Diceros bicornis minor: one gene and its partners. The protein of the gene in region 3 binds, or shares a complex with, the protein of the main gene of each other region. Links are inferred from orthologs where the notes say so. Each region holds a gene or a part of one and is shown on either strand. Other genes may lie near its edges. The genes, in order: SMARCB1, SMARCE1, ARID1A and SMARCA4.

Region 1 (7,320 bases), on a different chromosome or scaffold from region 3:
TCCAGCACCTATATGGCCGGCCTCGGCCAGCCCCCACCTCCAGGCCCCCGGCCCTGGGCCCCCAGGCTGGGGTGGACACCAATGAGATTGCTCCACTGGAGGTGAGGCCCAGGAGGGTGGGAAGACCGGAGGTGAGGCCCTGGTCCCAGCTCCCTCAGCCCGCTAGGCTCTGTGGCTCCAACGTGGGCTCTTTCCTGGCCCTTCTCTCCCACCCCAGCCGGAAGCCCCACCAGATGCCTGTGAGGTCTCCTTTGACGCAGTCTCCACCATCCGCGGCGAGCTCTTCTTCTTCAAGGCAGGCTTCGTGTGGCGGCTGCGTGGGGGCCGGCTACAGCCTGGCTACCCTGCGCTGGCCTCTCGCCACTGGCAGGGACTGCCCAGCCCCGTGGACGCAGCCTTCGAGGATGCCCAGGGCCACATTTGGTTCTTCCAAGGTGAGTGGGAGTTGGGGGTCATGCTCAGGAGACTTCCGGGAGCCAGGAACGGTATGGCCAAGGGTAGGGACAGACAGACAGACGTGATGGGCAGATGGTGGGTGCCCCGAAGCCTTGGGGCCAAGGGAGAGTGTGGCTCACTCCTCTGGGCACAGCTAGGGGGCTCGCGGAGGCGGCGGCTCTTGAGGTGGGAATAGGGTAGAAGGTATTGCACGTGGCCTGTGTATTGGTGCAGTCAGCCCTCAAAGGCACCCCGTGGAGTGGGCAGGATTATGAACCCTGGTCTAGAGATGAGGCCTCCGGGGCTCTGAGGTGAAGTGACTCACCTGAGGGCACAGCTGGGAAAAGGCAGAAGTGGGATGTGACCTAGGTCTGGAGAGCCTAGAGCCTGTTCCGTTAACTTGCAGCTGGCAGAGACGAGAGCCTGGAGCATTCGAGGTGGCAGGGATTTCATAAACAAAGGCCCAGCCAGGGTGGTCAGCTGGCACTTGTCATGGGCAGCCACATGCCAGGGGAAGAAGTGGGAGGCCAGGCAGCCTCTCTGCTTAGAATAACCTTTCCCGCGGGCACCTCTCCGCGTCTGCACCACTCACCTTACCCCGCGGCTCCAACTGCCCTCTGGCGTGGGGTGCTGAGCAGGCATTCCTGGCCTTTGTGTTTGACAGACAAGGGACTGAGGCTGGGAAAGTCTGTGGCGGTGGTGGCGGCTGGGCAGGTCTGCGGTGGCTGGGCATGGCAGTTGGGCAGCTCCGTTGCAGCCTCCCCCCTCTGGCAGGCGCTCGGTACTGGGTGTATGACGGCGAGAAGCCAGTCCTGGGTCCTGCACCCCTCTCTGAGCTGGGCCTGCTGGGGTCCCCAGTCCACGCCGCCTTGGTCTGGGGCCCCGAGAAGAACAAGATCTACTTCTTCTGCGGCGGAGACTATTGGCGCTTCCACCCCAGCACGCGCCGTGTGGACAGCCCTGTGCCCCGCCGAGTCACCGACTGGCGAGGGGTGCCCTCTGAGATCGATGCCACCTTCCAGGATGCTGACGGTGTGTTGAGGGTGGCATGGCTGGTGGAAGTGGTGGCTGGGCATCAGCTCCTCATCACAGGTCCTTTGTCCAGTGCCCTCCCTATCCCCTGTCCTCCTGCCAGGGCAGTGCTATACCCCCGTGCTGCAGATGAGGAGATGAGGGCCAGAGAGGTACTAGGACTTGCCAGGGCCCTGGGTCATAGCTGGTCAAATAATAACCGCTGCACACAGAGGACCCACGATGCTCCAGGCACAGCACCAAGCTCCTTACACGTCTCATGCAATTCTCAGATGTAGCACCTGTTATGAATCCAGTTTCCAGAGGAACAAAGAGAGGTTCAGGCAATGAGGTCCCTAACCGGGGCCGTCCAGGTAGATGGTGGGGAGCCAGGCCCCCCACCTAGGCAGTCCCTGCTACTAACCACTGAATCACCCAGCCTGCAGTCTCGAAGGACTAGATTGGGAACTTGCAGTCCAGTACCCTCTCCTGTGCCCCCACCCCCACTTTGCTTCTGTGCCTTCCCACATCAGAACCCACTGGGAGCGCTGTCCTGTGGTGGCCTTGGGCTCTGGGGCTCCAGGTTGCCCTTATCATCCACCTTGACTCAAGATGCCCATCTGTAGTTTTGGCTGTGGGTGCGGGAGTAGAGTGACTTGGGGAGGGGGGGAGTGACGAGAGAGACTTGCTTTCCTGAGAGGTAGGAGTTGAGCCTCTGAGGCTCCTGGCATTTGTTAGGCTGGGTGGTAGCTCAGACCAGACTCTGGGGGCAGGCGAAAGGGTTCCTCCGAGGGAAGGGAGGTTCTAGAAGGGCCACCGTGGGGCCTGCAGTTTTCAAGAAACTCAGCAGCGGCCAAGGCCTGCCCACCCGGACCGCCCCCTGTGCCCATCCCTGGGCACAGCCTGAGGGGCGGGCGTGGGGCCCAGTGTCCACTTGCCCAGGCCTGACTCGCCTCTCTACTCAGGCTATGCCTACTTCCTGCGTGGCCGCCTCTACTGGAAGTTTGACCCAGTGAAGGTGAAGGCCCTGGAGGGCTTCCCCCGCCTTGTGGGCCCCGACTTCTTCGGCTGTACCGAACCTGCCAACACTTTCCGCTAACCAGCGTGGATGCCCTCAGGGCTCCTGACCCCTGCCAGGCCACTGACATCAGCTAGAAACCTGTGGCCATCTTTGTGGCTGTGGGCCCCAGGCATGGGACGGAGCCCATGTCTCCTCAGGGGGGTGGGGAGGGGGTGCTGCCACCATGACAACTGCAGGGAAGGCCACGCGGGTCGTGGTCATCTGCCAGCGACTGTCTCAGACTGGGAAAGAGGCTTTGGTGTTAATTAAGGGTGAGGGTGGTTCAGGTCGGCTCTGCCCTACCTCGTGCAGGTCACGGTCAAACCGGCCACCCTCAGTCTCCATCCCTGTCCCTCAGCAGGGCTGGGGGAGCTGGAGCCCTCACTGGTTGGTGATCCTGGAGATCTGCTCCCCAGGATCCAGGCCAAAAGGTCCACAGTCGGCTGGGGAAGAGGGGTGCTTCCTGCCAGAGACCCCAGGCCCTGGAGGCCCCAACATACCTCAATCCTCATCCCAGCACTGGGACCCTCCAAAGCCATGTAAATGTCTGTAGTGTGTACAAAGCCTTTTTTTTTTTTTTTTTAAACTAAGGACTGTCATTAAACATGGTCATTTTCTACCTGCTTGCCTGGGGTCTCTCTGTGACTGCAAGGCCAGGACGGAGAAGGGGTTGGGCCAGGAAGGTGGGAGGCCTGGCTTGGGACCTCCTCTGTCCTGGGAGCCAGGGTCACAGCCCATCCCACCCGCAAGCCTCTGGTCCTTGGGGCTGGGTGCAATGCTTGGGGCTCCTCCCGCTCCATTCCTCCATCACATCTCACTAGATGCCTGTAGTGGCTTTGAAATTGGTTCCCTGTTTCCCCGCTTGCCCCTCTGATCATGCTCCACTAAGTGGTGGTCGTTTTATCTGATCATGCCACGTCCCAGCCACCATCCTAAACTCCTGTTTCCCAATGCTCTTGGGACACAGAACAAAACTCATGGTTGCCACGGCCAACCCTTCCTAACTCTCCAGTGTCTCCTTGCCCACCACCCAGCCCGACGTGTATCTTCTTCATAGTGGCACCTATCACAGCTGCAATTCTATTAGACTTGAACCATGTGAAATTGTTAGCAGTGGGCCGTTGCTGACCTACTGCATCGTTCACTGGATACATGGATGCTCTGATGCTTTCATTAGCGTCAGTCCCCGCTCCGAGCTTTGGGTGCCACAGGGCAGGGCTGGCCAGTTTCACCGCACAGTTGGGCTTGTTGTAGGCACAAAGCACAGTCAAGAAAGGAATGAGGAGGTTCCCTCCTCTGCAACACTCATCTGGTGCACCAGCCAAACCAAATACCACCTGGGCCTGGAAATCCTGCCAGGCCCCACCCAGGGTTGTCATTCTGCCCATCCCCACAGCAGCAGGAACAGCTGTGAGCCCGGAACTGCAGTATCTGTTCCTAGGAGCCCTCTCATCTACTCAGCAGCACTGCATTCCCGGGTGGGGAAACTGAGACATGGGTAGCTCGGGCCTCCTCCCGCCTTCAGGCCTCATTTCATTCTTCTTCCACTGGGCTGAGTTCCAGTCCCAGCTGTGAGACTGCGAAAGCCACCGCCTGAGTCAGGGCCTCGGTTACTATTTCTGCCCGCGAGAAGTTTCCCTCGGTACCTCGACTCGGGAGGCGGCCTGGGAGGAATAGACACGGATCGAGGCTCCTTTAAGGGGCCCGCGGGGGCGCGCCTCGGCCTTTTGTTTGGGCGACGGCGGCGCGCGCGTCAGCGTCAAAGGCCGCGCATGCGCACTGAGGGCGGTCTGGTCGTCGTCTGTGGCTGCCGCTGAGGAGCTCAGCTGCGGCGCGAGCCCCCGGCCTGTTCTTTGCCTCGGTGTGCCCTCTCAGTCTCGCTGCCCGGCCTCGGCCCCCTGCCTCCGCCACCGCAATGATGATGATGGCGCTGAGCAAGACCTTCGGGCAGAAGCCTGTCAAGTTCCAGTTGGAGGACGACGGCGAGTTCTACATGATCGGCTCTGAGGTAGCCCGCGGCACCTCCTCGCCCTTCTCGGCCCCGGGGTCGCGGGAGCCTCAGAGCAGGCCTGCGCGCCGGGAACGCCCGTTTCCATTCATCGCGGCGGGGGGGGGGGCGGGGGGGGAGGTGGACGCGAAGCGCTGGGGGCGTGGTCGGGAGGGCGTGGTCAGCGAGCCCCCGCCCCCCCGCCCTGGCGGTCCGGGATAGGTTAGCAATTTCGCGGTGGTGGGGACGCGCCCCGCTACCAGGGCTGGGGCTCCCCGAGGGGCACCGGATCCCGCTGAGTGGGTAGCACTCGGGTTAGACCCTGAGCGCTTCTGGGGGGCATGTTGGGAATCTCACACGCGCCGCTACTCCATTGCTACCTATGGGATCCTGAAATAGCCGGCTGGAAGCGTGGGCTCAGTGAGGGCTCATCCCGTTGTGTTGCCTTTGAGGTGGACTTTGAGGAGGTGTTTTGACCTTTGTTTACCCGTTAGGAAATGGGTGGCGAGGAGGATGCTTGCTTTTGGTTCGATAAGGCCCCAGGCTACCAGCTAGCTCTATCAGCAATTCGGGAGCAAGTGCCACTTTGGATGTCTTGAACTTACTCAGAATTATGAGGAGGGAAAGATCCTAAAGGTCTTTTATCTTTGACTAGAAGTGACAGCACTTTGTCGAATCAGCTGGATGACTGACTTTAGGAACACCCTACACCTGGTCCTTCAGTGGGAATTTGTACTATGTATATTAAGTTTTTCCAGAGTGCCTCAAACTAACCCTTTCTGGTCTAAAGGCAGTCCTCAGACAGTGTATATTCCTTTTTTAAAAAAATGTTGGATATACGGTTCAGATGTGCAGATACTGAGCAGTGGAGTCTGTCTAGGTTAACGAGGCAAGTGCCGATCCTGGAGAGCTAAAGTAGGTACAAGATGCCCAGGGCTGTCTCTCCTTGTAGCAGTTTTCAGTATCAGACGCCAACATTTCATTACTGTTTTTACAGTTTTTGGGTTTTTTCTTCACAGTTGAACATAATGTGAGTGAAGCAAGCCCCATGATGGTCACAGTAGGCTTTCAGGACACCCTGTGATTCCTGGCTTGTCTTAGTTGTATCGAGTTGTGAGACCACTGTTGTCAGGAGCATCTTTAGTGTTTCCATTTTTCACTAATTTTTATAAAACAAAAAGGACAGGATGCAGTAACATTTTCAAGTTATCACATAAGTGCTGCTCTTCAGACATACCTGTGCTGGGGAAATGGAGCCAGTGCCTGTCCATCTGCCACAGCTCACATGGTCCTCATTGGCCTACTGGTCGGCACCTGCCTAAATGCAGGATAGGAGTTTCGGTATGTGATAGTGGGCAGGTTGTTTAAAGAAACCTTTACCTGATCTAGTGGGCAGGAAGAGCAGTCAGTTTGGCCTTTGAGTGGGTGGTACTTTTGAAAAGCAAGCCTTCATTTATTAGGTGGAGCAAATTGAGAGAAGAAGCACATGGCCAGATGGGGAGAACGTTGGGAGGCCTGGTTCCAGCACTGCTTGGCCTCCCAGTCACTTTTCTTATGTGTATAATGAGATGTTTAGACTAGATGGTCTCTAAGATCTTCCCCATAACACATTTTAGTTTCTAGAAAACTAACTACGGTCTTCTCTTTCAGCCCTCTTGAGTGAGAACAATTGACCTGAGACCCAGTCTGTAGAGACCCAGGGGGGAGAGGGGGGCGGTGGTTTGCTCTCTCAGACCTGGCTTGACGATCGTCAGACCTTTGGAGGTCTGGGAAGGGTTCAAGATCAGGATACTGTCTACTGATATCCAGCAGCTCCTGTGACAGCATTGAGTGGATGGCCACCAGGCCCCTTCCCCTTGGGAAACAAGCACCATATTCAGAGAGGTGGGCCGGCGAGAGCAACACATCCAGTGCCCCCATGCCAGTCCTCGGAACAGCCTTGGGAGGGCGTCTGCAGTCACAGGGAATGTGTGTCACTGTTCTCCGCCATCTGCAGGCAGCTGTGTTCCCCGAGCCAGAGTCACAGAGCTGAGAGGACTTGAAGAAATGCCCAGGTCCACTCCTACATTTTACATTTGGGAAACCTGAGTCCAGAGAGGGCGAAGGCTGGTTCAGGGAAAACCCAGGAAGGCAAGCCCCGCTCCCCTAAATTCTGAACGATTCTTGGGAAGGGTCTAGGAGTCCTGGAGCCCTGTAGTACCTGCAGGGTAGAGGTGGGGGCATTATTGTCAACGTCTTCGTGAAAACCTAATGGAAACTGGACATTTGCCCTCGGATGGTAATGGCATTCAAGCCAAATAACGTGAGGAGACTGTGCCTATTGTGTGGAGCACGAGTGACTGGCTGTGGCTGCCTTTTGTCGCTCTGTTCAGCAGCTCTGGTTGCCAGTTATATAAATCTTTGATTCATGAAAAATGGAGAAACATTTTTATTTAATAAATATACTATGCTGGATAGGTAAATGGGGAGATAATAGAAGTGGTTCTTCCTGGGCCAAAGTTCAGAGTTGCTGAGCATTTGGCAGATGAGTAAGGAGACCCAGAAAAGGAAAGTAATTCCCAGTCACAGGTGGAGCCAGCATCTGGCACCCAGTCGGCTGACTGTCCCTGCCGTAAAACTCAAATGATCATTTTTTTTGTGTGTGTGAGGAAGGCCAGCCCTGAGCTAATATCCTATGCCAATCCTCCTCTTTTTGCTGAGGAAGATCGGCCCTGGGCTAACATCCGTGCCCATCTTCCTCTGCTTTATATGGGATGCTGCTAGAGCATGGCTTGATGAGCGGTGCGTCGGTGTGCGCCAGGGATCCGAACCAGCGAACCCTCAGGCT
Region 2 (7,969 bases), on a different chromosome or scaffold from region 3:
GATTGGACAAGTATTTTACATGCTGACCAAGCTGGGCCAGAGCTTGCTGGGTAAAAAACTAGTTGACAACTATTATTTAGATGCTTTGAAACATATCAATTCCCAAACCAATAGAATATTATTTATGGAGTGGAATAAAATTCAATAGCAGGATCTGACCCACAGATAATGAAATCCTTACTTGAACAGCTTGAAAATAAAGATTTACAATGAGTGTTATTCTAGAACTGGAAGCTTTATTGTTTAACACGAAAATTATATATAGACAAGGAGAGAAAAATGTAACCAGTTGAAGGTTAGGTTTAAAAATAATAATAAATGCCAGAATGAGTATTCATTCAATATCAACCTGAAAGACTCTTAACGGAGATCAATAAGAAAGAAGTGTTAACTTCTCCCTTATTTCCCATTAAAAAAAGAACTGAGCAGGAGGTTGGCATTTCAGCAGTATGTTTCTTTAAATGTTGGGGTTGGTCAAGGTAAGATGCAGAGTTATTTTATTTAGTAGGAAGTGCTGTTTTTTAGCTGAGTTTTTCATCCTGTTGCTGTGATGACTGAGTGACTGTCACTGGAAGACATCTGGGTTTTTGTATCAAGGCCAGACTTGGCTATTACATTAACAAGAAAATTAAAACTTACTGTTGCAGGAGCTGGGGTGGGAGGTGGGGCATAAGATGGTCTTTCTGTTTGAAAGAAAATAAATAACTTCTTGTAAACAACTGAGATATAATACTATGCAACAAAACTACCAATGGTCCTGTTTTGAAGAAAAAAAATGAGAGTATTTTGGAATTCCCATTTGCTAGGGCATTAGTTTCTTATTAATATAGGTTGATAAATATAAAAAATGAAACTTACTTGACATTTTGGAAGATTAAGTTCTCAGTTCCTTAAGAATGAATCTGAGACACTAAAATAAAAAAAAGAAAAAAAAAGAAAAAAAATGAGAATCAAAACTCAGCAAGCATAAGAGAATGTTTTCCTAAAGAATAGGGTAGTTTATAAGTGGTATTTCTTAGTAAAATTACTTTACATTGTCTTCTAGTAATCAAGTATTTGCATATTTTAGTAATTCTTTAGGTCATTTGGTTCAACAGAATTAAATGACTAAAATTACTGGGGATATTAAAAGTAATATTAGACACGTACTTTCAAGTTTTTCTTATGATACTGAGCCACCTCTTGTACGGAAAACATTTTATGGATGCCATGTAAACATTTAACCAGACTGATAAAAATTTAATGACAACAGAATGACGTATTATCAGGGCCCACTCCAACAAGGCCTACCAGATACCGACAGCCCCCACTCAGCAGCAGCTCTACCTTCCTTTTAGAATAACAACTCCTATTAAATGGAGCAGTATTTGATTCCTGGAGGTAGTGCAAAAGGTAATTGGTATGATAATGCCCTTTACATTCTCTTATAGAGGTAAACAGCTTTGTAACTGCTGGGAATAAATTTTGAGAGTCTACCTGAAAAACTCTTACAAAGCCTTCATAGTCCATTTCAAAATATATCTACTCAATGGAGCTTTCTTGATAAACTACCTGGGCAAAATTAATTGCTTCCTCATCTGTACACCTACTCAATTTACATAGGTCTATGATATTGTTTACTATATCGTATTATACCTGTTCATATGGCTAGATCGTACGCTGCCTGGGAACAGCAACAATTTAATTGATTACTGTAGTCCCAGGACCTAGCTCAATTCTTCATAAATTTTGTCCTAGTATTTACCAGTTCATAACATGACCGTACCCACATGAGCTTACATCAATATACATCACACACAGTGCGTACAAAGAGACATTCATTTTTAGAAAAAAGGCAAATAACTTCTATGACTACTGGCACTTTCATCCAACATTATGTGAAACAAACAGAATTTTTTTGCCTCTATGTTGCATTTTAAGAGACTTCCCTGGAGCATAAGGAATAAGAGGCCTGCTGTGGAAAGAAACAGTTTATTTTCTCAGTGGCCCAACCTGGGCCCTCTTTCCTTAAGGAACGGGCAGAAACCATTGATTCTAGTGGAAATCTGCACATTCAGGGAGCTGTCAACACCCCGTTGGCCTTGCTGTGGGGAAGCCCTGACAATGTCCGCCACAAGATCCTTAATACGTCACACTTCATTGTTTAACGCTTTAAAATAATTGCTCTCCTTCGCTGTACTATAAATTCTTAAGGGTGGGCTTGTACATTTACCCACCAGTGGATCCATCCTCGGCGCCTGGCATAAAATACTAGATAAGCATTTGTTGAGTCCCTTACACGGGACAGGCTTATTACCTACACTACCTCGTCTGACAGTCACAACTACCACGGAGATATGTACTGCCACTCCTATTTACGGATGAAACAAGAGAGTCTCGGCGAGTTTAAGTAACTTGTCTAAAGACACACTGCCAGGAAGTGCCAGAGCTGGGTTTTAAACCCAGGCCAAATGGTTGCAGAGCTTTCGCTCTTCCCTCGAAGCCACACCGCGAGCCCTCGGGTCTCTGCCTGAACCAAGGGGAAACCACCTTCCTGGGGGTGAGGACCACGGGCTTGGCTAGTCCCAGGCGCTTCCTCTGAGATCCTTTCCATTAGGTTTGTCGTGGAGGCTACACTTCACCAGCAACTCCACCAAAGGGGGGTATGCACAGGTGCTCTGACCAGTTCCGCGGCGTTAGTGGAAGGGGCAAATCTTGCCGCCAAGGAGGGGCCCCAGATGGGACTCCCTCCCAACCCTCGCTCCGCTAGGCCTCAAGGAGGCCGCAAGCGGCCCCCAGCTCTGGCCCCGCGGCCAAGCCTGAACCCCAGCAAACCCCGGGAGCTCGGGGTCCAGCCGAGCCGGGACACCGCGACTTGCCACCCGTCCCCCCCACCCCCCGACCCGGCCAAGCCCGGTTGGAAACACTCACCCGCGGGCAGAAAACGCGCCCGCAGCTCCAGCCTCGCTTCCCTTTGTCCCTCGCAGGCCCCGCCCCTCGCGGCGGAGCTTCCGCACTCGCACTTTCAACACTCGGCTGAATGTCTCTCCGGGTCCCCCCGACTCTCTTTAGAAAAATAAACTTTCTATTGAGGACGCGGTGAGGCTTCCTACGGCCAAGGATTTTTTTCAGGCCCCATACGTTCCTCAAACCTCCCGAATGCGGTACCTTCCCGGGCGGCGCCGATTCGTCACGGCGGCGAGGGCGGAGAGGCCCGACCGCGGGATGGGCCCGGGTGCGGCGGCCGTGAGGGGCTGAAGCGCCGGCGGGGGACGCGCCGAGGGGCCGTGGGAGCCGCGCGCGGGCCCGGAAGACGGCGGGGTCGCCCCGACCTGAGGCCCCGGAACCACTGCGGCCTCGCGGCCCGCGCCACTCGGCCACGCTCCGCGCCCGCCCCGCGGGTTTTGTTTGTTTCCCCCCTGGTCCCTTTCTTTCCTCTTTCGCCCTGAGAAAGCCGGGCATGGAGTCGTGGAGGACCCGGCTGGCGGGTTTTTCGCCTCCACCAGCGCCTTGCAGGACGTCCTGCCGGAACCGGCCGGCATTATCCTTGGCGAAAAGCGACACGCACTTTTTCAGGTTTTGCAACCGCGAGTGTGGGGTCCTTGCCACAGGCTTCTGAGCCAAGGCCCAGAGGTGTCAATCCCCTTGGCCCGGGTGGTGGGCCCTGGCGACACTGGTCTCCGCCCAGCGCGGCCTGGGCTCATTCGGTTCCCTCCCCGGGAACGACTGTCCCCCACTTTCAGCTTAAACTCACTCCATCCCCGCTCGCCCCCCAATCCTTCCCCTGAACTCGCACGGTTCTTTGATAACTTGATAGTAGTCTCTACCCCATTCGTTGTATACTCATGAATAGAGATTAGTGAAATTGAAGAGCATAGTGAAGGGAAAGACTAAAAGAGAGGTCATCCAAGGATAACAGGCAGCTTGAGTGGTGCTTGAGATAATGTACATGAAAGTGCTTTTTTTAATATAAAAGCATCAGAGACGGAAAGGATTAATGTAAGATACACGAAGGCCTCAGCAGGGATCCCAGGACCTTCTTTCTCCTGCCTTGTCCAGCACCTACAGCCTGGTTTCTTCCTTGCCTTTGAGGTTATGGTGGAGCATTGGGCACGTGAGGTGCAGGGGCAGATGCTCCCTTGTGTCATCTCTAGGCAGTCCTCTTGAAGAAAAGCCGCAGGTGCTGGATGTTAGGAACAAAGCTCACTGTAGTGAGAAAGGCGTGGCACAAAAATGGTGAAAAAGGAAAGGAGGAGATCTGAGTGAAGCAGTGACATTGATGCACTTTCTCACCTCCTGGTCTTTACTCAAATGTCACCTCGGTAGGTCGTTGCTGACCTATTTAAAATTGCAACTCATTCTCCAACCTCCACTCGATTCGTGGTCTGTGCTTTGTTTTTTCTGTAGCACTTACCACCCAATGTAGTATATTTATTATGTATTTGTTTTGTTGTCTTTTTCTTTCCATCAGAATGAAAGCTCTTTGAGGGTGGGGATTTTTGACCTCTGAAACAGTGCGTGGTACATTCAGGTGCTCAATATTTGTGGAATGAGTAAATGAATGGCCATCTCATTTTCCTCCCTTTGGTTCTTCACTCCCAAAGATTTGCAAAATTAAGAAAGGAAGAAAAGAGGCAAAATATAATACGGAAAAAAACCTCTTCCCTAGTCCTGAAGAAATTAAGACTGCAGAGTGAAATGTCTGAGTTATTAGTTTGTTTTTTCCCCAAGCAAACGTCAGAACATATGATCTTGCATGTACAGGGATGTTGATGGGAACCACAGGACAGACTTTTGGAACAGTGCTTATTCCTGGAAAATATGGGATGCCTCCTTAATATGACTATTTAAATGATATGTAACTCTCAAGGTTGTTGGGAGCCCTCACAGGGGCCTTGCTGTGAACTGCAGAGATAGTCTTAGACCCAGGGAGTTTAGTTTCCTTCCTGGCAGCGAGATCCAGGAAGTTGACCTGCTTTCCTCTCTGACAGTACTCATACTTCCTTGAGGTTCTCCTTCCTCCAAAACAGGGAAGCCAAAACTAGTAAGTGATTAAGCTAGGATTCAAGCCCAGGTCTCTTTGATTTCTTTCCATAGTACTGTGGGAAGAAGCTGGGGAGTGAGATGGAATTAGGGGTGGAAAGAGAACCATCCCTGTGAGGGAAGGAGAAAAAGGAGAAAATGGGAGACAACAAGGAAAAACCCACAGTCCTTGGACACCTAGTAGTCCATGAATTGGCTCTAGGAGGTCTATGAACCCTTTAAAATTGTACACAATTTTTATGTGCTTCCCCCCCCCCCCCCCCCCAGATAGAGGGTTAGTACTTTAACAGATTTTCGAAGAGGTCTTGACTCAAGAAAGATTTTGAACCAACCACTGAGCCATGCAGTTTTCTGTAGTGTGTTCTAAAGAAGCTTTCTGAAATGAATTTTTTTCCCTTAAAATAGGGAAAGACAGGACAGAACTCTGGCTGAGCTGAATAGCCTCTAAAAGTCTGGTTGTAGGCAAAATGGTGGAATAGGCTGATTTTCTCAGCTGTTTCTGTGAAAGCAGAAGTTATGGGTATTCAGTTCTATTGCTAGAAATGGTTGTGAAATATCGAAGCCCAGCAGATTTCCAGGGCAGAGTGGATTCACAATGTTTTGTAGAATTTGACAAAGTATGGTTTGCTTTTACAACCTCTGTGTTACCTTCTAAATACCTTGAGGATTTGGGACACGTGGAAAAGGATGAAAGTGTTTGAAAACAGGATGGTCCTGGAGAATTTGGGGTATGATCTGTCATCCACAGATCTTATTTGAGGATCTAGGGCATGTGTCAGCAAACTAAAGCTGCAGGCCAGATCTGGGCTGCCTCCTGTTTTTGTAGTTTTATTAGAACACAGCCATGGCCATTTATTTATGTATTATTTATGTATTAGCTGCTTTCAGCCACAAGGGCAGAATAGTATATGTAGTTGCTGCAGGGATCATGTGGCCTGAAAAGCCTAAAATATTTGCTATGTGGGTTTTCACAGAAAAAGTTTGACAACCTGGGTGTAGGGTTTTAAGTGTGTGAGAGGAACTGGAAAAAGCTTGTAGTGATTTGCACATATACCTTATTTCACAATGTTTATTTGTATTCTGTTCATAAATATTGGCAATCTGTGTGTACATGCTGGCCATAATTTGTAAACATAGAACCAAATTCTGCCCTGTGCACAAACTTTCCTTTGATTTCATGTTTAGATAATTTGAGTAATGTGTGTATGCATATTATTTCACTAAAGTTTAATATTGATCCATGTCTCATAATGCATTTCCATTTGAAACTTTCAAATTAATTTAAGCATTTTTTGACGTTAGAGAACATTTTTGTACTTTAAAAAACTACTGTGGTAGAATAGTTCAAATTGGGTAACTCACTGGGAAAGAATAATTCTTCTGGCGGTAACTGAAGGGTTAAAAAAATTCTCTTCCCCCCTTGTGTTTTGAGCTATTACTTAATCATTGTCAGCTATAATTGTCCTCACAAATTCTTCTCTCCCAGTGATGATTTTTATCCAAATAGTACTGTATATTTGAGTAGTACTTTGCCAAATATATTCACATGTATGTATTTCAAACAACTCTGTGAGGTGGGAAGGGTGGGGACTATTACCAACCACCACCTTTCCCCTTGTATTCAAGTGTGAAAATTGAGGCCTAGGGAATTTAAGGGATTCCTTCCTGGTTACATGGGTAATTAGTGACGGCTCCAAGGCTGGGATCCTACAATTGTTAGTACTTTGAATTAGTCTTTATTTTTGTTTTTTGTTATGGAAGCATGCATTTGTTGAACTATTCCAGAGAGATTGAAGAATATTTTCTATTCATCCATAAAATAAGGATAATATTATGCATCTTGTAGGATTGTTGTAAGGATTAAAGATTATGTACGAGGTTGCTGAGTACAGTGCTAGGAGCAGAGTCAGCATTTTGCAAATGGTGGCTACTGTTATTATACTTTCCCCAGGATTATGGGATTGTTTTTATTTTGATTTTTTAATTAGAATTTACCATTTGTTAGAATATACCATTCTATTTGTTTTGTGTGTGTGAGGAAGTTTGACCCTGAGCTAACATCTGTTGCCCATCTTCCTCTTTTTGTTTGAGGAAGATTGTCCCTGAGCTAACGTCTGTGCCAGTCTTCCTCTATCTTGTATGTGGGACGCTGCCACAGCGTGGCTTGATGAGCAGCATGTAGGTCTGCGCCCAGGATCCGAACTTGCAAACCCCAGGCTGCCGAAGTGGAGCGTGTGAACTTAAAACCACTACACCACCGGGTCGGCCCCTAGAATATACCATTCTTGATTTTTTTTTTCTAAAAAAAAAGTATAAAAACCATTCTCTCTCCACTGTGGTTGCAGTTTTCTTCATTCCCCAAGTGAGCTAATCATAGTGGAACATTGAAACTCAGTACAGTGTATCAAACTCAAATACAATGCAGCTTTAGAGTTCATGTTTGAAGTTTTTTTTTATTGTAGTGGTATCATTTACTTTGGTAAATTCATATCCCGATTTAAAACGCCCCAAAGCAAATAAAACTTTGTTATAAATTCAAGAACTGTATTGTAAAATGTTCATGTTATACACACAATAGCTGCATAGTGGAGTTACTTAACAAGCAGTTACATTCATGATGCCCCGTAGTAAGTTTTTAAGACTGCAAAAAGATTACACTAGATATATTGTTTTATTATGATTACAGTTGCTTAGTACAGTAACTTTAGTACAGTAGCTTATATGATTGCATTTTTCAAAGCTTTAATAAAGTTAGTAGCATTTAACTAATATCGAATGAAAACACTTTTATGTATAGGATGTATTTTAGGTCAGATGCTCACACAAGAATAAGCACTTAACATGCTGTTAGATCCTTGACAGAACAAAATCATCCCTTTCACTAAATAGAAAAAGCCAGGCTAAAAGGAATCCCAAGTAATTGAAAGAAAATCTAAAATTTTATGTC
Region 3 (6,934 bases):
CGAACAGAGCTTTTTTACCTCTTTGAAAAGTTACATGACTCCATAGACCACCCAATATTCCTGACCAAAGCACTGAAGACAGAAAACAATGAAGACGGAAGAAGAGCAAAACAACAGTAAGATAGAATGCATAAAAACATACCTAAAAGTTGTCATTTCTAAGCAAATCTTTAGTGTCATTGTAAAATGTACGTTTACTATCTTGGAAGATAGAAAAAAACGGAACATACTTTAAAATGCAGAGAGAAAAACTGGTCAACCTCTATTTCAAAGCTTTAAAACGACTGATGACAAAAAAGAAAATTGGCCTTTTTGATATTCCAGGAACAAAGGACAAATTTCACCAAACCAAGGCTTTAGGAGAAAGTCCCTCTCAAGATCATGAAAGATGTTAGCTTCCCTTTAAATTGAGCTGCTCTCCCAAAGTTCAGTTAACAAAAGAAAAGTGTTAACAAGATTCAACACCTAAAGAATGAGACCAGCCATCCTTAAAACACTTGAACCTAATAAGAAATCTCTCTCAGAAAACTTACAGTTCTCAAAAAAAAAAAAAAAAAATTCCCCTATCCCCTCTCATAAAGATCCTAGTTTGCCACTCAATAAACAGCCCAGTAAAATAATTTCAATTCTGCAAAGCCAACAGGGTCAAAATTACTCAAGACAAATGCATCTTCAGAGCTATCAAAGAAGTCATTTATACTATCAGGAAAGTCACAAAACCAAAACAAACAGCAAACCCATTGTAGAGAAAAACTCAGCTACTGTTCTGACAACACAGAATCTATTTCAGGCTGCATAAAACATAACAAGCAAAATAAATCCAAGGTACACGCAAAATGCCACTGCCTCCTCTTTTGTTTCGGGCACAATGTAACAAGGGCAGCCTGTCTAGGGCTCTGCTCCTGCTGATACAGTATTGCTGCTTAAACCTCCCTCCTCAAGGTCACAGCCAATTTCAGTTCTGGAATAAAAGGCAGATAGTGGCAGCGATGGTTTGGGTTATCACTGGCAGAAAAGCAGAGTGTAAAAGTTTATGAGCTCATCAGGATTGTTGTACCATTACATCAGAGGCAATTATAAATGGCCAAGAGCAGGAGATGGGGAGCCAATCAGATCACAGATAGGATGTCAACCTAAGACCAACTGTCTCCTGGCTTTGACAGAAGGATTTTACCTCCATAATTCAAATCCCAAACCAAAGCAATCTGCACTTACTACTCCAATCACTCAGCTGTTTACCAGCACTTCCAGGGAGAAGCCCAGGCCACTGGGCCGACGGAGACTAAGACAAGAGATGGCCCGGGCTGCCCCGGGTGAACCGCAGCCGGCCTCTAGCTGCCCCCAAGCAGGCCCCTGCCCTCCTTCGAGGTCCCCTCGAGCCCGAGGGGCCCCTCCTTGAAAGCACAGATGGGGGACGGCCTAGAGGAAGGCAGGGGGGGCAGAGAGGAACGGCAGGTGAGCAAAGAACTGTTCACTCAACTTCCGAGCTCCTACCACTGCCTACACCCCTAGCCTAAGCCCCCAGAACCCCCTCACCCCAGGCAGGACCCTTCCCCGCACACTCTGCCCCGCACCCCCTTGAAGATCCTCGGAGTTCGGAGGGACCAGGGGAGAGGGAGAAGGGGAGCAGACACCTCAGGGAAAGCCCCACACAAAGGCTGAAGGAGAGAAGGAGAGGAAGGCAGACAGGCAGCCATTTTAAGAGAGAAGAGCCAGACAATGGCAGCTCCCCAGTAATGGGGGCCCCGGACTAGGGGTAGCCCACGGCTGCGGCCTGCTCTCCGCAGCCGCCACCCACTCCCAGGACCCCGCTCGCCCCAGCCCCCTCCCCCACTCAGCTGTGTACCTGCGGGGTCCGGGCGAGCGGCTGGCCCCCGCCGCCGCTGCTCCCGGGGCTCATGGGCGCGTGGTGGCTCCTTTGTTGGGCCCCTCCCGAGGCGGCTGCCGCCGCCGCCGCCGCCGCAGCAGCAGCCCCCCAGCACTGCGAGGCCATGTCCGCCGGGCCTTTGCCGGCGCCCCCGTCCTGGGGCCCGCCGCCGTAGTCGCCCCCGGGGTAGCCCTGGTAGCCCCGGGCTGAGCTGGGCGACGTGAGCAGTTGGTTGAGGGTGGGGGTAGCCGTGGGCTGGGGGTTTCCCCCGCCGGCCGCGGAGGGGCCGCCTCCCCCCATGGCCCCGAAGCGCTGCTGAGCGAAGGACGACGACGACGAGGAGGCGGAGGCGCTGGAGGAGGGAGGCGGCTTGGAGCCGGCGGCCGCCGCCGCGCCGGAGCCCGGAGTGCCACCTCTCGGGGAGCTCAGCGCGTAGGCCTGGGGGGGCGGGGGGTAGGCGCTGCGGTTGGGGTAGTAGGAGTTGTACTGGTGGTTGGGGAAGCCGTGGTCGTGCGAGTTCTGCTGGGGCCCCGCGTAGGGCTCCAAGCCCCCGCCGCCGCCGCTCTGCAGCGCTGCCAGGCCAGGGCTTTGTTGTCCGCCATGTTGTTGGTGGAAGACGGCGGCCGCCGCGGCGGCGACGGCAGACGGGCTCCGGCCGTAGGGTTGCCCGAAGCCGTAGGCTGGGGGCGGCAAGGCGGCCGCGGCTGAGTGAGGAGGCGCCCCCACCCCATCACTGCTGCCGCCACCGCCGCCGCCGGGCGGCTCCGTGAGGTTATTGTTCAGGGCGGGCCTAGGGCCCGCGTTCCCGTTCGAGTTCTTCAGGTCCGGCTCCGCGCCGGGCCCGCCGCCGCCTCCGGCTCCGCCGCCGCCGCCACCCCCATTGCTCTCGGCCCCGTCCTGCAGCTCCTTTCCCAGCGGCTGCGGCGGCCCCACGGCGGGGCCCTCGCTTTCCTGCCCGGCGGCTGCCTTCATTTCCCCGCGCTCGGCCGCTGCCGCCGCCGCCTCGCCCCCTGCCTCCTCCCGCTGCTGCTGCTCCGCTTTCTTCAGCTCCGAGGGCGGCGGCGGCGGGTTGCCCAGGCTGCTGGCGGCGGCGGGGGCGACCTGCGCGGCCATGATCCCCGCTGTCTCGTCCGCGGAGAGACCCGGCCCTGTCTTCGTCTTCTCCCCCCCTCCCACCCCGCCCCGGGGCTGAGTCCCCCGGGCTGCCCTCCCCACCCGCCCGGGCGGGCCTCGCGGGGCTCCGCTGCTGCGCTGCGCTCGCTCGCTCCTCTCCCCCCCGCCCCGCCGGCTCAGGCTCCGGGCTGGCGGCGGCGGAGGAGGAGGAGGCGGCGGCGGCCGAGGCGCCGGCGGCTCAGCTGCTCCCGGCTCTGTAGGCTCGGGACCCGGCTCTCCCGGCTCATTCCCCCCAAGCCCTTGCCTGGGAATGAGGGGGGCGGTGGAGGCTCCGCTCCCCAGGGCCTGGCCCCGCTGTGACTCTCCGCTTTCTGCTGCCGGAGAAAGGAGGAGGGAGGGAGGGAGGGAGGCGAGGGGGAGGGGGCGGGGAGGGAGGGAGGGAGCGGGGGGAGGGGGACCCGGGACGGGCGGGCTGGAGGGCGCGCGGCAGCAGCCCGGGTGCCGGGAGGCAGAGTCGGAGCGCAGGCTGGACCGGACGCCCTGCCTCCCCTCCCCGGCCGCGGCGCCGGCCGAGGCTGCTGCGCGGCAGCGGGCGGGCGAGCGGGCGGGCGGCCGGACTGAGCGGCTAGAGCGCCCCACTCTCCTCCGAGTCCCCCTCACTCCGACACGAGGCTCAGCACTGCCATTTTACCCAGCGCCGTCGCGGCCGCCTGGCAAACCCGGAACGGAGTGCGGAGCGGGCGCAGGCCGTGGAACGGACTCGCTCCCTTCCCCTCACAAAGGAGGAGGGGAGAGAACGAGCCGCGGCGGCGGCAGGCCCTCTGCCGCTTTCGCTCGGCAGCGCCGCCGCCGAAGGCTTCGGGGAAAACCCGGCCCGGAGCTCGCGCGTCTCCGGAGCCTGCGCCGCCTCCCTCCTGGCGTTCCTATCCGGGTCGGTCCCCTCCAGGCCGCACTGAGAGGAGCGGGCGGCGTGAACTTTACTCGCGGCTGCAAAATTGGCCTGAGCCCGAGACCGCGGCCGCCTCGGCCCAGGCCTGACCCCCTGGCAGCGGGCCTGGTCTCTTGGCTGCTTCTTAGCACCTCTACAGCACTTTTCTTCTTCAAAGCCTTTTAGAAACCCGCTCTAAAGACCCAGCTGAGTGAGCAAAGTGGGGCCTTACGTTGTACCCCCTTGGCAAGCCGAATGGAATGACAGATCATTGTTCAGACTTTCCATTTTCCCACTCCCCTGCCCTCATTAGCCTGTCCTCACAAGGCCCTGGGGGCATGAGGTCTGAATATACCCATTTTACAGAATTAATAAACAGAGAGGAGAGGACTGCCCTGTCACTTAAAGTCAGAGGGCGGCTTTAAAAAGTAGCAGAATCCCCAAAGCTGCCCTTGTCCACTTAGCTTTAAAAAAAAAAAGTGGTCAATCCACTTTGTGGATTGTGCCATATCCAACAATGGGATAAGAGTATCAGAATGGGTTTGAGATCAAAGCTGGTCATCTCAACACTGACTTGAAATAGTTGCCACTGAAGCTACTTTGGGGGCATATGACAGCCTTCTAGCAGAAGAACCCAAGCTCCATCTTTGCCTCCTAAGAGAACTTAGCCCACAATGAACAATAGCCCCAGTCTCCAAAGATAGTACCTGTAAGACTATAAACAGACCACAGAAAAGGCTCCCAGGACTGGAGGAACCTGAGTGTTCAAAGGGACCACTGCAGAAGAGGGATGGCCAAACCGAGGTAAACCATTTTCTCTTTAAAGAGAGAAAAGGGGCAGTCTAACAGGTCACTTAGAAAATGGATGCAACCCAAATTTGTTTTCTGTCCTCCAGCTTAAAGATTCTTCAGAGTTTACCATTACACTCTAAGAGATGCTGATTGAGCTGGAGGCATACATAAGAAAACTCCAGATCTACAGGCCCCACCAAATCCCAGCAACAGCCTTTTCCTCCTCAGGCTGATTTGGAATGCTCTGACATGACAGGCTACAAAAGCCAGAGGGGATTCCAGCTCCTCATCAGGCCGAAGGCTGCCTTGGGAGAGGCCCAGGCCAGTGTAGTCACTAGACACCAGGGCCTCCTTTCCCCTTAGATTTTATAAAATGGAGACTTTATTGCCATAGAACCATTATCTTAGAACTTCCAGATTCTGCAGGCCCCTGGAGTTCTGGCCATCCCACTGGTCACAGTGAATAATTCCAAAAATCTGGACTCATTCCTACCCTCAAGAAAATTTAAGAGCATCTGACACTAAAAAGGCATAACCTTCCTGTTGATCTGAGTGTTTTTTTTTCCCCAAGCCAAAAACCAAACCGGCCTACCAGGGTCTGACTGACTGGAATGGGCCAGTGCCCTCGTTTCACTCACAGTCCTCAGAGGCAACAACTCTCCCAGTGCATTAGGTCCTAGAAACCAAATTATAGGCTGCCTCATAAATGGAGCTTGGCTATTTAATCAACTGCCTCTGAGCTGGCAAACAGTCTTGAGTCCTGCACACAAATGAGGAATTTTTTACATGCAATTACCCTGCCATTTTCCTCAGAGCTGGAGTGTAATGGGAAACCTGGAGCCCACTGAAAATCTGGAAGCCATAATGGATTTGTCTCCAGAGGAAGCCCTCATCTCCCTTCTTCACTGGCTGTGAAATTTGGATTTGCCCAAATCCCTTTCCTACACGTGGGCACCCTGTTTTGAAAACAGCCACCATTTTTCTCTAGCAATAAGGCAGAGTGCACAAAAATCTATCCACTTGGGTTGGAAGAGGTAATGTGGGATTTCTCCTTTCTCATTTTGTTTTTTTAATCTCAAATCCTTTAGGGTCCTCTTCCACCCCTACCTTTAGAGCCCCACACCACTATCCCGGGGACTGCCGAGTTGAAGGGAACTTTCTTAGAAACCGGCTCATCAGCTTTCCCTAGAGGCAGTGGCAGCGGGAAAGGGGGGAGGGGAGGAGCTGGGCACGTGGCTGGCCCGAGCTTCGAGTTTGGGGCTGTGGGTCCTCCCTTTGGTGGAGTTTTCTCCCCCAAGGCCCCTGCCTTTTTAACCCCACACCCAGGCAGCTAAGGAATCCCGGCGCAGATTGGAGAACTAGGACTAGGACAGCGCTACCCTCACGAAAGCGCCTCTGCCACCAACAGCCTGATGGCAAATATGGACTGAATCGTTGACATGGAAACCGGACTAAAGTCTCGCTCGCTCCCTCACTGGAGAGTTCTTATCACCGTCCCCGACCGCACGGCACTTGGCAAACGTGGACTGGATCTCCGGTCCGGAGCACCAGGCGGAGTTTGTGCGCGCAGCATTAACTCCCGCGGCGGCGGCCGCAGCCAAGGAGGGGGGCAGGGCTGCCAGGACAAACCGACTGAAAATGGCAGAGGATGTGCCTCATTTTATCCCGCTGCACAGTGTGCATGGATTGGGCCCGAAAATAAGGGAATAGCCTATTAAAATCCATGCAGTCAACTACAAAATGTGGAACCAAGGCCTAGAAGGTTTGCTAAGAGAGGGCAACGTTTGCAGGGAGGATAGCCCTTCCTCTCTCGCAGTTTGCTTTCCTTAGGTGTCCGAAATACAAAACTCAACAAACAAACAAAAGATCGGGCTGGGCTCCTCCGGGCTCCTTCCTTTCCCCACTCCCTTTAGTGGAAGACGTTTGAAGCCCAGGACCCAGTGAGGGTTTGCCTTGGTTCTGAACTAAGGCGCGGGGGATCGGAGGAGCGCCGAGTTGTGGCCCCCACACGCGTCCCCGCCGCGGCAAAGCAGCAGACACCCAGCAGAGCTCTCCCGAGTGCGAACCGGAGCTGCGAGTTTGAGCAAAAGGGCAACTATGTCAGTTGACGGAAGCCAGAAGCAGAGTTCAAAGCCTGGCGTGGATTTCCGTCTGGATTTCCGTCTTAAAGTTTGTAACTCCGTGTTCAGAAACAGCCCCAGCGGAGGCTTTGGGAGCAGTGTGAAAGTCTAGCA
Region 4 (7,433 bases), on a different chromosome or scaffold from region 3:
TGTGAGTCGCCGCCACATCATGGCCGCTGATGAGTGGTGTAGGTCCACGACCAGGAACCGAACCCAGGCCACCAAAGCGGAGCATGCTGAATTTAAGCACCAGGCCATGGGGCCAGACCTCTTGATGGTCTCTGCCTTTTATTCTTGGCAAGATGGGAGCCATTGGAGGGTTTTGAGCAAAAGAGGCACTTACTGAACTGAAATTTTAACTCCTATTAAATACCCAAGTGGTGGTGTCTGAGAGGCAGTTTTCAGGAGCTCAAGGGTAAGGTTCAGACAGGAGATAAATATTTAGAAATCATATAGATTTTCTAAAAAGTTAAGGTGAGATTCCTATAACATAAAATTAAATATTTTAAAATGAACAATTCAGTGATATTCAGTATGTTCACCATGTTGTGTAAGCACCACCTCTAGTTCCAAACTATTTTCATCATCAACCCTGTACCCATTAAGCAGTAACCTTCTGCCACCCTGAGCTCCTGGCAACCTGCTTTCCCTCTCTATGGATTTGCCTGTTCTGGACACTTGACTCACACAACATGTGGCCTTTTGTGTCTGACTTCATTTGCTTAGCATGTTTTTGAGGTTCATGCACACTGTAGCATGGATTAGGACTTCACTCCGTCACGGCTGAATATTCCACAGACTGTATAGACCCCAGTTAGTTTACCCAGCCATCTGTTGGTGGACATTTGGACGGTTTCAACCTTTGGCTATTACAAACAGTGCAGCAACAACGAACGTTTGTTTACAAGTATTTGTTCAAGTACCTGTTTCCAATCCTTTTGGGTAGAGACCTAGGATGCAGATGATTTTTTAAGGTCACCAGACTGGAAGCCACAGAGATGACTGCAGATAGGGGCCCCAGGCCTGAGCCCCAGGTTCATTACTGAGGGGTCAGTGTCAAGTGGAGAAAGCCGCAAAGGAGCCTGGGAAGGGGCTGATGAAGGGGGGGAAGAAGCCCAGGAGTGCGCGGTGCCCTGGAAGGCAAGTGAGGGGACCTGCTCTAAAGAGCGGACGTGTCAGCCGTCGCCAACAGGTCAAGGAAGGTGAAGAGGGGAACTGACCCTCGGATTCAGCGACAGGGAGGTCCCCACGACGTTGATGCGAGTCATTTCAGTGGCTAGGAAAGGCCCGAAAAGAGCAAGTTTAATGGAAATTAGAGGAGACCTAAATAAACAGAGAGACACCATGTTCATGGATTGGAAGACTTAATTTTGTTAAGATGGCCCCCAGATTGGTCTACAGATTCAATGCAATCCCAATCAAAATCTCATCACGGTTTTTGACAGAAATTGACAAGCTGATTCTAAAATTTACAAAGATGCAAAGGAACCAGAGCAGCCTAAACAACTAAAAAAAAAAAGAAGAAAGTTGGCAGACTACTTGATTTCAAGACTTATTATAAAGCTCCAGCAATGAAGACAGTGTGTTCCCAGCATAAGGGTAGACATATCGAGCAAGGAACAGAATAGAGTCCAGAAACAGACTCACACTTAACTAGTCAACTGGTTTTTGACAAAAGTGCCGGGGTAACTCAACGGGGAAGCAGACAGTCTGGAACAACTGGTGCTGGAACAACTGAATATCCCTGTGGAAAACACTGAACTTCAATCTTTCCTCACCCCATACACAAAAATTAACTCAAAATGTATCACAAACATAAACGTAAGTGCTAAAAGCATCGATTTTGCTTAAACTGGGATTTCAACATATAGCCACAGACCACTGGTCTACAGGATTATTCCCATCAGACTTTTTTTTTTTTTAATAATTTTTATTTATTTATTTTTTTCCCCCCAAAGCCCCAGGAGATAGTTGTATGTCATAGTTGCACATCCTTCTAGTTGCTGTATGTGGGACGTGGCCTCAGCATGGCCGGAGAAGCGATGCGTCGGTGCGCAGCCGGGATCCGAACCCGGGCCGCCAGCAGCGGAGTGCACGCACTTAACTGCTAAGCCACGGGGCCAGCCCCCCCATCAGACATCTTGTCCTTAAAACAGGACTCCGGATCCTTCCTTCCAGTTTCCACGTCCCCACTGTTCCAGCTGCAGAGAAAACTGGCGTTCACTCACGACCCTCCCTCTCCTTTCAGGTCCACTCCTTCGATTTCTATCCATTTGACCTCCACCTTCCTTCATTGCCTCCACTCTAGTGCACGTCACCCCCTCCACCCTGGGCCTCTGCGATGGCCCAAAGGGGCTCCCCACTTTCTCTCCTTCCCCGCCAGCCCGGTCTCCACCCTGCAGCCAGAGCCGCCATGGGATTCTCCTGATTACAGCCCTTCATCTGCTTCCTACCGCGCTCCAGGAAAAGCTCCAGATCCTCACCACAGCCCACAGGGCCCTGCCCGGCGGGGCTGCTGCTGACCCCCCTCAGAGCCACCCAGCCCTTTTTCTGTTCCTAGGCTCTTTTCCTCTTCAGGATCTTGGCGCACCCTGTTCCCTCTACCCAGCGCCCTCTCCCAAAGGAGAGGTCCTTTGGGTCTCAGCATAAATGCCTCTTCCTCAGTGAGGTCTAGCTGACTCCTCAGTCCCAGGAAGGTCTCATGTTATGATCTCACTGCGCCCTGGGCTTTTCTTCCACTGCACTTACATTTTCCTACCGTGTATTAGTGCGATCAACATGGGAGACAGTCAACTGAACTCATGGACTGCCTGCTCCACAGGCAGGAACCCAGCCTACTCAGTGCATCACTGCGGGCCCATGACCAGCTCAGTGCGCAGCACATCGAGGACGCTTAAGAAATATTACTTGAGCGAATGAGAGAGACAGAGGTTCAGATCCCATGTGCCCATCTGCTGCGCATTACTCAACACTAGGAGCTCAGGTTCAGAGAACTCCCAGGCGGCCTGCTTTCACGGATTCCTCGTAACCAGCCAGTGGAGGAGGGTGCCATTACTGTTTCCATTTCACAGGTGAAGAAAGGGACGCGTAGACGAGTCCAATAAACTTGCCTGGCAGCCCCCAGCTACCAACAATGGAGTCAAGTTTTAAATCCAGGTCTTGGACGCCTGCATGAGGTCTCACCTTCTGCTCTATACTGCAAGTGACTCACCTTGGACTTGGAAAGAGTCAACGAGCTGATGCAGGTACAGGACGCACTCAGCAGACAATCGGTCTCTATCATTCCTTCAATAAAAAAATTTCAAGTATCTAGTATGTGGTGAATGGGGGCACTACGCTAGATGCTGGTATTCCCTAGTGATTAAAACTGACAACAGCTTTGCCATTGACATTGAAGGGAGAAAGACAGTCACTCAAGAGGGTACCCAAGAAATGTGAAGGAAGGGGAAAAAGGAGGCAGTGATCAAACAGGACGCAGTGAGTCAGCTGGGACCTGAAAAATGAGGAAGGGCAGGCCCGCGAGCAGCAGGGGTAGCGACAGTCCCAGGGGGCGCGGCTGTCCGGCTGCGGGGCTAAAGATGACGCTGCGGACACTTTCAAATCACAGAGAAGAGGTTTGGAGGCTCAGGGCCTTCACACTTGCAACAAGGCTCTCTCTCGCACTGCTTTCCTGTCTAGACTCAAACGTCTTCGTCGCAGCGAGGCTCCCCTGGCTGCCCCATTTAAACCTCCCACAACCCTCACGTCCCCCTCTCAACACAACGCATTTTCCTTCTTTCTCTGGCCTGCCTCCCCCACCGGATCGTGAGCGCCGCAGCGGCTGAGGTTTTTCTGATTGCGGCCGCAGCACCTGCGCCTGGGCCACAGCAGCAGGTCCATAAATATTTGCTAAGCTAATTAATGGCATCCCGGAGGCTGTGCAGAAAAGGCGGCCGCGGTCGGGCCCCGCCTGGTCCCGCCGAATAGGCCTCAACATCCCCCACCAAGGGTGAAAGCGGCTCCCCGGCCCGCCCTGGGCCGCCCGTGCTCCTCCCCGGCCCAGCCTGCCCGCCGCCTGCCCTCGCGCCCAGCTTCCAGTCCTCACTTCCGAGCCTCAGGGCCCCTCGGCCATCCCTTCACTGCAGACCCCGCTGCCACCCAGCCCCATCCCCCAACCTCCCACCGCCACCGCCGCCGCCACACCACCGCCGCCACACCACCGCCGCAGTGCCGCCCGCTCTGCGCATGCTCCGCGGCGTGGGGACGCCCGGCGTGCGAAGGCGGAACACCCGGTGCGCAGGCGCAGGAGCATCCGGGACAGAGTCGGGAGGCGCGTCGGGCGCGCTGGCTCTCTCGGGCCCCGCCCACCTCCCCCCAGCGCCGAGCAGACGCGCACGCGCGCTGGGAGCGGAAGGGCTGGCGGGCGCGCGCACGAGGCCGGGCGGGCGGCGGAAGCGGGAGAGGCAGTCTGTGGGGGGGGAGGGGAGCCGGCGAGTGCGCGCGCAGCGGGGGCGCGGGCGGCGTGGGGGGGCGGCCGAGGCGGGCGCGCGCGCGAGGCTTACCCTCGCTCGGCGGCGGCGGCTTCTTTGTTTCGTGAGGAGACGCGAGACGCCCACTCTGCCCCTGGCCCCGCGCGGAGGGGCGGGGGCGGCGCCGGGAAGGCGACGGCGCCGGCAGCTCCCGGTAAGGAAGGCGGGCCGCGGGGGGAGCGCGGCGCGGGGCTGGGAGGGCGGTTTGAATGGAGCCGGGGCGCCGAGGGGGGAGGGGGCCGCCGGCGCCCAGAGCGGGGCCGGGGTACGGCGGCGCCCGAGGGTCAAGAAGCCTGGCCGGCACCGCGCGCGCGGGGCAGGCCACAGTGCAGCGAGGCCGCGGCGGCTGCAGTATCCGCGGGCCGGGGGGTGGGGGCCCGGGCCGCGTGGAGGCCGCGCGCCCCCCGTGCGCGCTCTCGCCGGGGGCGCCGGACAAAGCTCGCGGCCCCCTCGACTCGCCGGCCAGGGCCCAGCCCCCAGTCGCCGTCTCCGCCGCGGCTGCAACAATAGCCCGGCATCGGGGCTTTTCTGGCTACGTTGTAACGGGTCGGACCCGAACGTTGCCTTTTTGGCGAGGCCGCGATCGGGGTTCAGTAGGGAAACGCCAGACGTGTCCAGCATCAACTGGACACGAGCATGAGCTGCCCTGAAATTTTATTCTACAAAAGCCACATATTGTAGATTTTCAAGAAAAGAGAAGTAACTCCCCCAATCCCTTGCAAGAAGTGACTTCAGAATGTCTGCTCTGAAGTGGGGGGTCGGCAGCAAGTGGGGGAGGGCCGGGGGAACTGTTTGCTGTTGAAAGCATTGTTTTTAGTTTGCATCCTTTTCCCTTCCTCCCAAATGATTTTCCAGATTAAGACTGTAATTTAAAACGTGGATCTCTCGGGAGAGTGTTTTGTGCCGGTCTTCAAGACACCAGTCTTGATTTTTCTCCCCGGTGACTCCCTGGGGAAAGTAGGGAATAGTTGGAAGATCCGCTTCCTTGGAATTGGAGACAAGTTTTCAGTTTGAATTGATACCGGATTCGAGTTTGCTTCCATCACTTGGCTGTGTGACTTTAGGCAAATAGCTTAATCTCTCTGAACCTCTTGGTTTCCTGAAATGGGGATAATGCCACCAGTGGAGTTGGTGAAGGCCTGTAAAATGGTTCCTGGCAAGTGGGAAGCACCGTTGTTACTGTCTGGTCAATCTCCGTCCGTTGCTCAGCAATTATTTGTTGAGTCCCTACTGGGTGTCAGATGGTTGGGGGTTGGAGCCCTGTGGAGCCTTTCCAGTCTTGTAGGGGAACAGGCGATAGATGTGGGAACAAGTCCCCTTGGCCTATCATCTAATCCTCACAATCCTCGCTGTGAGAGGGACACAGTGGACGCCCAGGGAAGTAGTGGAACCAGAGATCAGGGAGGCTGCCTGGAAGAGGGGACCTTTGCCCAGAACCAGGGAAGATGTTCCAGCTTGTATGTGGACCACCCTGGACCACTCATTGTTCCCCTCTGCTGCACTCACACGTCGCCCTGTCCTTTCCCATGTGGAAGTTCCCCCAGTTTGTAATTACACAGCCATTCCTCTCTGAGGGCCATCAGAGCAGGGGTCAGGTCTCCCTGGCCTCCCGCAGTGTACCCTGGGCCCGGCACATGGAAGGCCCTTAGCGAACGTTGGTGCCATGAGCGAGGAGGGTCCTTGGGAGCACTGAGTGAACATGGGTGTGAAGAGCTCCATGCAGGACTGGGGCAGTGGGTTGTAAGCAATGAACGTTAGTTGCTGTTGTGGGTTTTTAACTTTCCAGGCCATTGTTTGCCAAACCTCCTTCCCCCGGGAATGGGGAGTGGGGCGGTGGTTAGTAGGAGTGGCGGTGGGGGTCCTAGTTCTAGAATCACACCTCAGGTTTACACCCAGCTCTAAATCCTGGCTTGACCTCCAGCAAGACACTTACCAGTAGGTCCCGCCATTGGTGAAACAGGTGTGACCCCCCTCAAACTATTGTGAGGGTTGAATGAGATAATCTGGAAAGTGGCTTAACACACTGCAGCGCCTGACATATAGTGAGCACTCAGTTTGTTGGAGTTAATATTGCTCATTATATGTATATATGTATGTATATTTCTAATTTTTGTTAAAATCAGTGCATACACATGGCTGGCCTGGTGGCATAGTGGTTGTTTGTGTGCTCTGCCTCAGCGGCCCGGGGTTCACTGGTTCAGATCCCAGGTGTGAACCTACACACCGCTCATCAAGCCATGCTGTGGCAGCATCCCACATACAAAATAGAGGAAGATGGGCACAGATGTTAGCTCAGGGCCAATCTTCCTCACCAAAAAAAAAAAAAATGCATACATAATTATGAAAATAATAAATGTTCCTCCATGTGCCCCCTAAAATCACTTTGTGTGCAACCCTTCAGGAGGCATTGATCTTTTAGGCTTTTGAGCCGGGGTGACAGCATCAGAGCTGTGGTGTGGGACAGTGACGTGGTTGCCACACTTTTTCTGTCAGTGAAAAGCACCCCAACATGTATGCACCTTTATTTATGTATCTTTGCCACTCCTTATGGATGCTCAAAATACTGAGAGGGAACCCTAGACCAGCTCTGTGTCTTAGCTGTTTATTGGCTGTGGGAGAGTGGGAGGAACTAGGTGTTTCTGGTGAATGTCTGGTGAGAACGACATTCCGCCGGTGAAGAAACTGAGGTCCAGGAATATTCCTTCACCAGGGGCTCTCCAGTCCACCGTCCAGGTTTGACCCCTGGTTTGGCCACTTTCCCTCGTGGTGCCTCAGAGAAATGGGGGTGACAGTGCCTGGCACATAGTAAGTCCTCAGATGTGCCGGCCAATTTTGGCCTCAGTCATCAGGGCTGCCCTGCACAATGGGACCCATTCACCTCAACCATAGCACACAACGTGAACGGCGCCCCCAGGAGGTGTGCAAGAAAGCGCTCAACCGCGCATTCCCCATTCATATAGGGAACAAGCATGCATCGAGTGCCCGCCATGAGCCCGGCACTGCTGGGGGCTGAGGATTCGGCCAGGACTGGGCAGACAAGGGCCCTGTTCTCATTTGCTCATATCCATCTCCTTA

Evidence for each region.
Region 1: ARID1A (region 3) and SMARCB1 share a complex: the UniProt entries of both Homo sapiens proteins name them as parts of the neuron-specific chromatin remodeling complex. The link is inferred for Diceros bicornis minor from reciprocal best matches to the Homo sapiens genes ARID1A and SMARCB1.
Region 2: ARID1A (region 3) and SMARCE1 share a complex: the UniProt entries of both Homo sapiens proteins name them as parts of the neuron-specific chromatin remodeling complex. The link is inferred for Diceros bicornis minor from reciprocal best matches to the Homo sapiens genes ARID1A and SMARCE1.
Region 4: ARID1A (region 3) and SMARCA4 share a complex: the UniProt entries of both Homo sapiens proteins name them as parts of the neuron-specific chromatin remodeling complex. The link is inferred for Diceros bicornis minor from reciprocal best matches to the Homo sapiens genes ARID1A and SMARCA4.

Annotation. Positions count from the first base shown.
Region 1 is NC_080774.1:29,771,597-29,778,916, reverse strand, and holds the start of SMARCB1 (SWI/SNF-related matrix-associated actin-dependent regulator of chromatin subfamily B member 1), read left to right. Parts: upstream 1-4,301; 5' UTR 4,302-4,421; coding exon 4,422-4,514; intron 4,515-7,320. Other genes in the region: MMP11 (stromelysin-3), read left to right, coding at 1-101, 218-434, 1,210-1,467, 2,412-2,545.
Region 2 is NC_080757.1:40,093,445-40,101,413, forward strand, and holds the start of SMARCE1 (SWI/SNF-related matrix-associated actin-dependent regulator of chromatin subfamily E member 1), read right to left. Parts: upstream 3,015-7,969; 5' UTR 2,911-3,014; intron 911-2,910; 5' UTR 866-910; coding exon 859-865; intron 684-858; coding exon 640-683; intron 1-639. UniProt on the Homo sapiens protein: Involved in transcriptional activation and repression of select genes by chromatin remodeling (alteration of DNA-nucleosome topology).
Region 3 is NC_080752.1:42,499,011-42,505,944, reverse strand, and holds the start of ARID1A (AT-rich interactive domain-containing protein 1A), read right to left. Parts: upstream 3,011-6,934; 5' UTR 2,981-3,010; coding exon 1,847-2,980; intron 1-1,846. UniProt on the Homo sapiens protein: Involved in transcriptional activation and repression of select genes by chromatin remodeling (alteration of DNA-nucleosome topology).
Region 4 is NC_080769.1:8,398,869-8,406,301, reverse strand, and holds the start of SMARCA4 (transcription activator BRG1), read left to right. Parts: upstream 1-4,428; 5' UTR 4,429-4,512; intron 4,513-7,433. UniProt on the Homo sapiens protein: ATPase involved in transcriptional activation and repression of select genes by chromatin remodeling (alteration of DNA-nucleosome topology).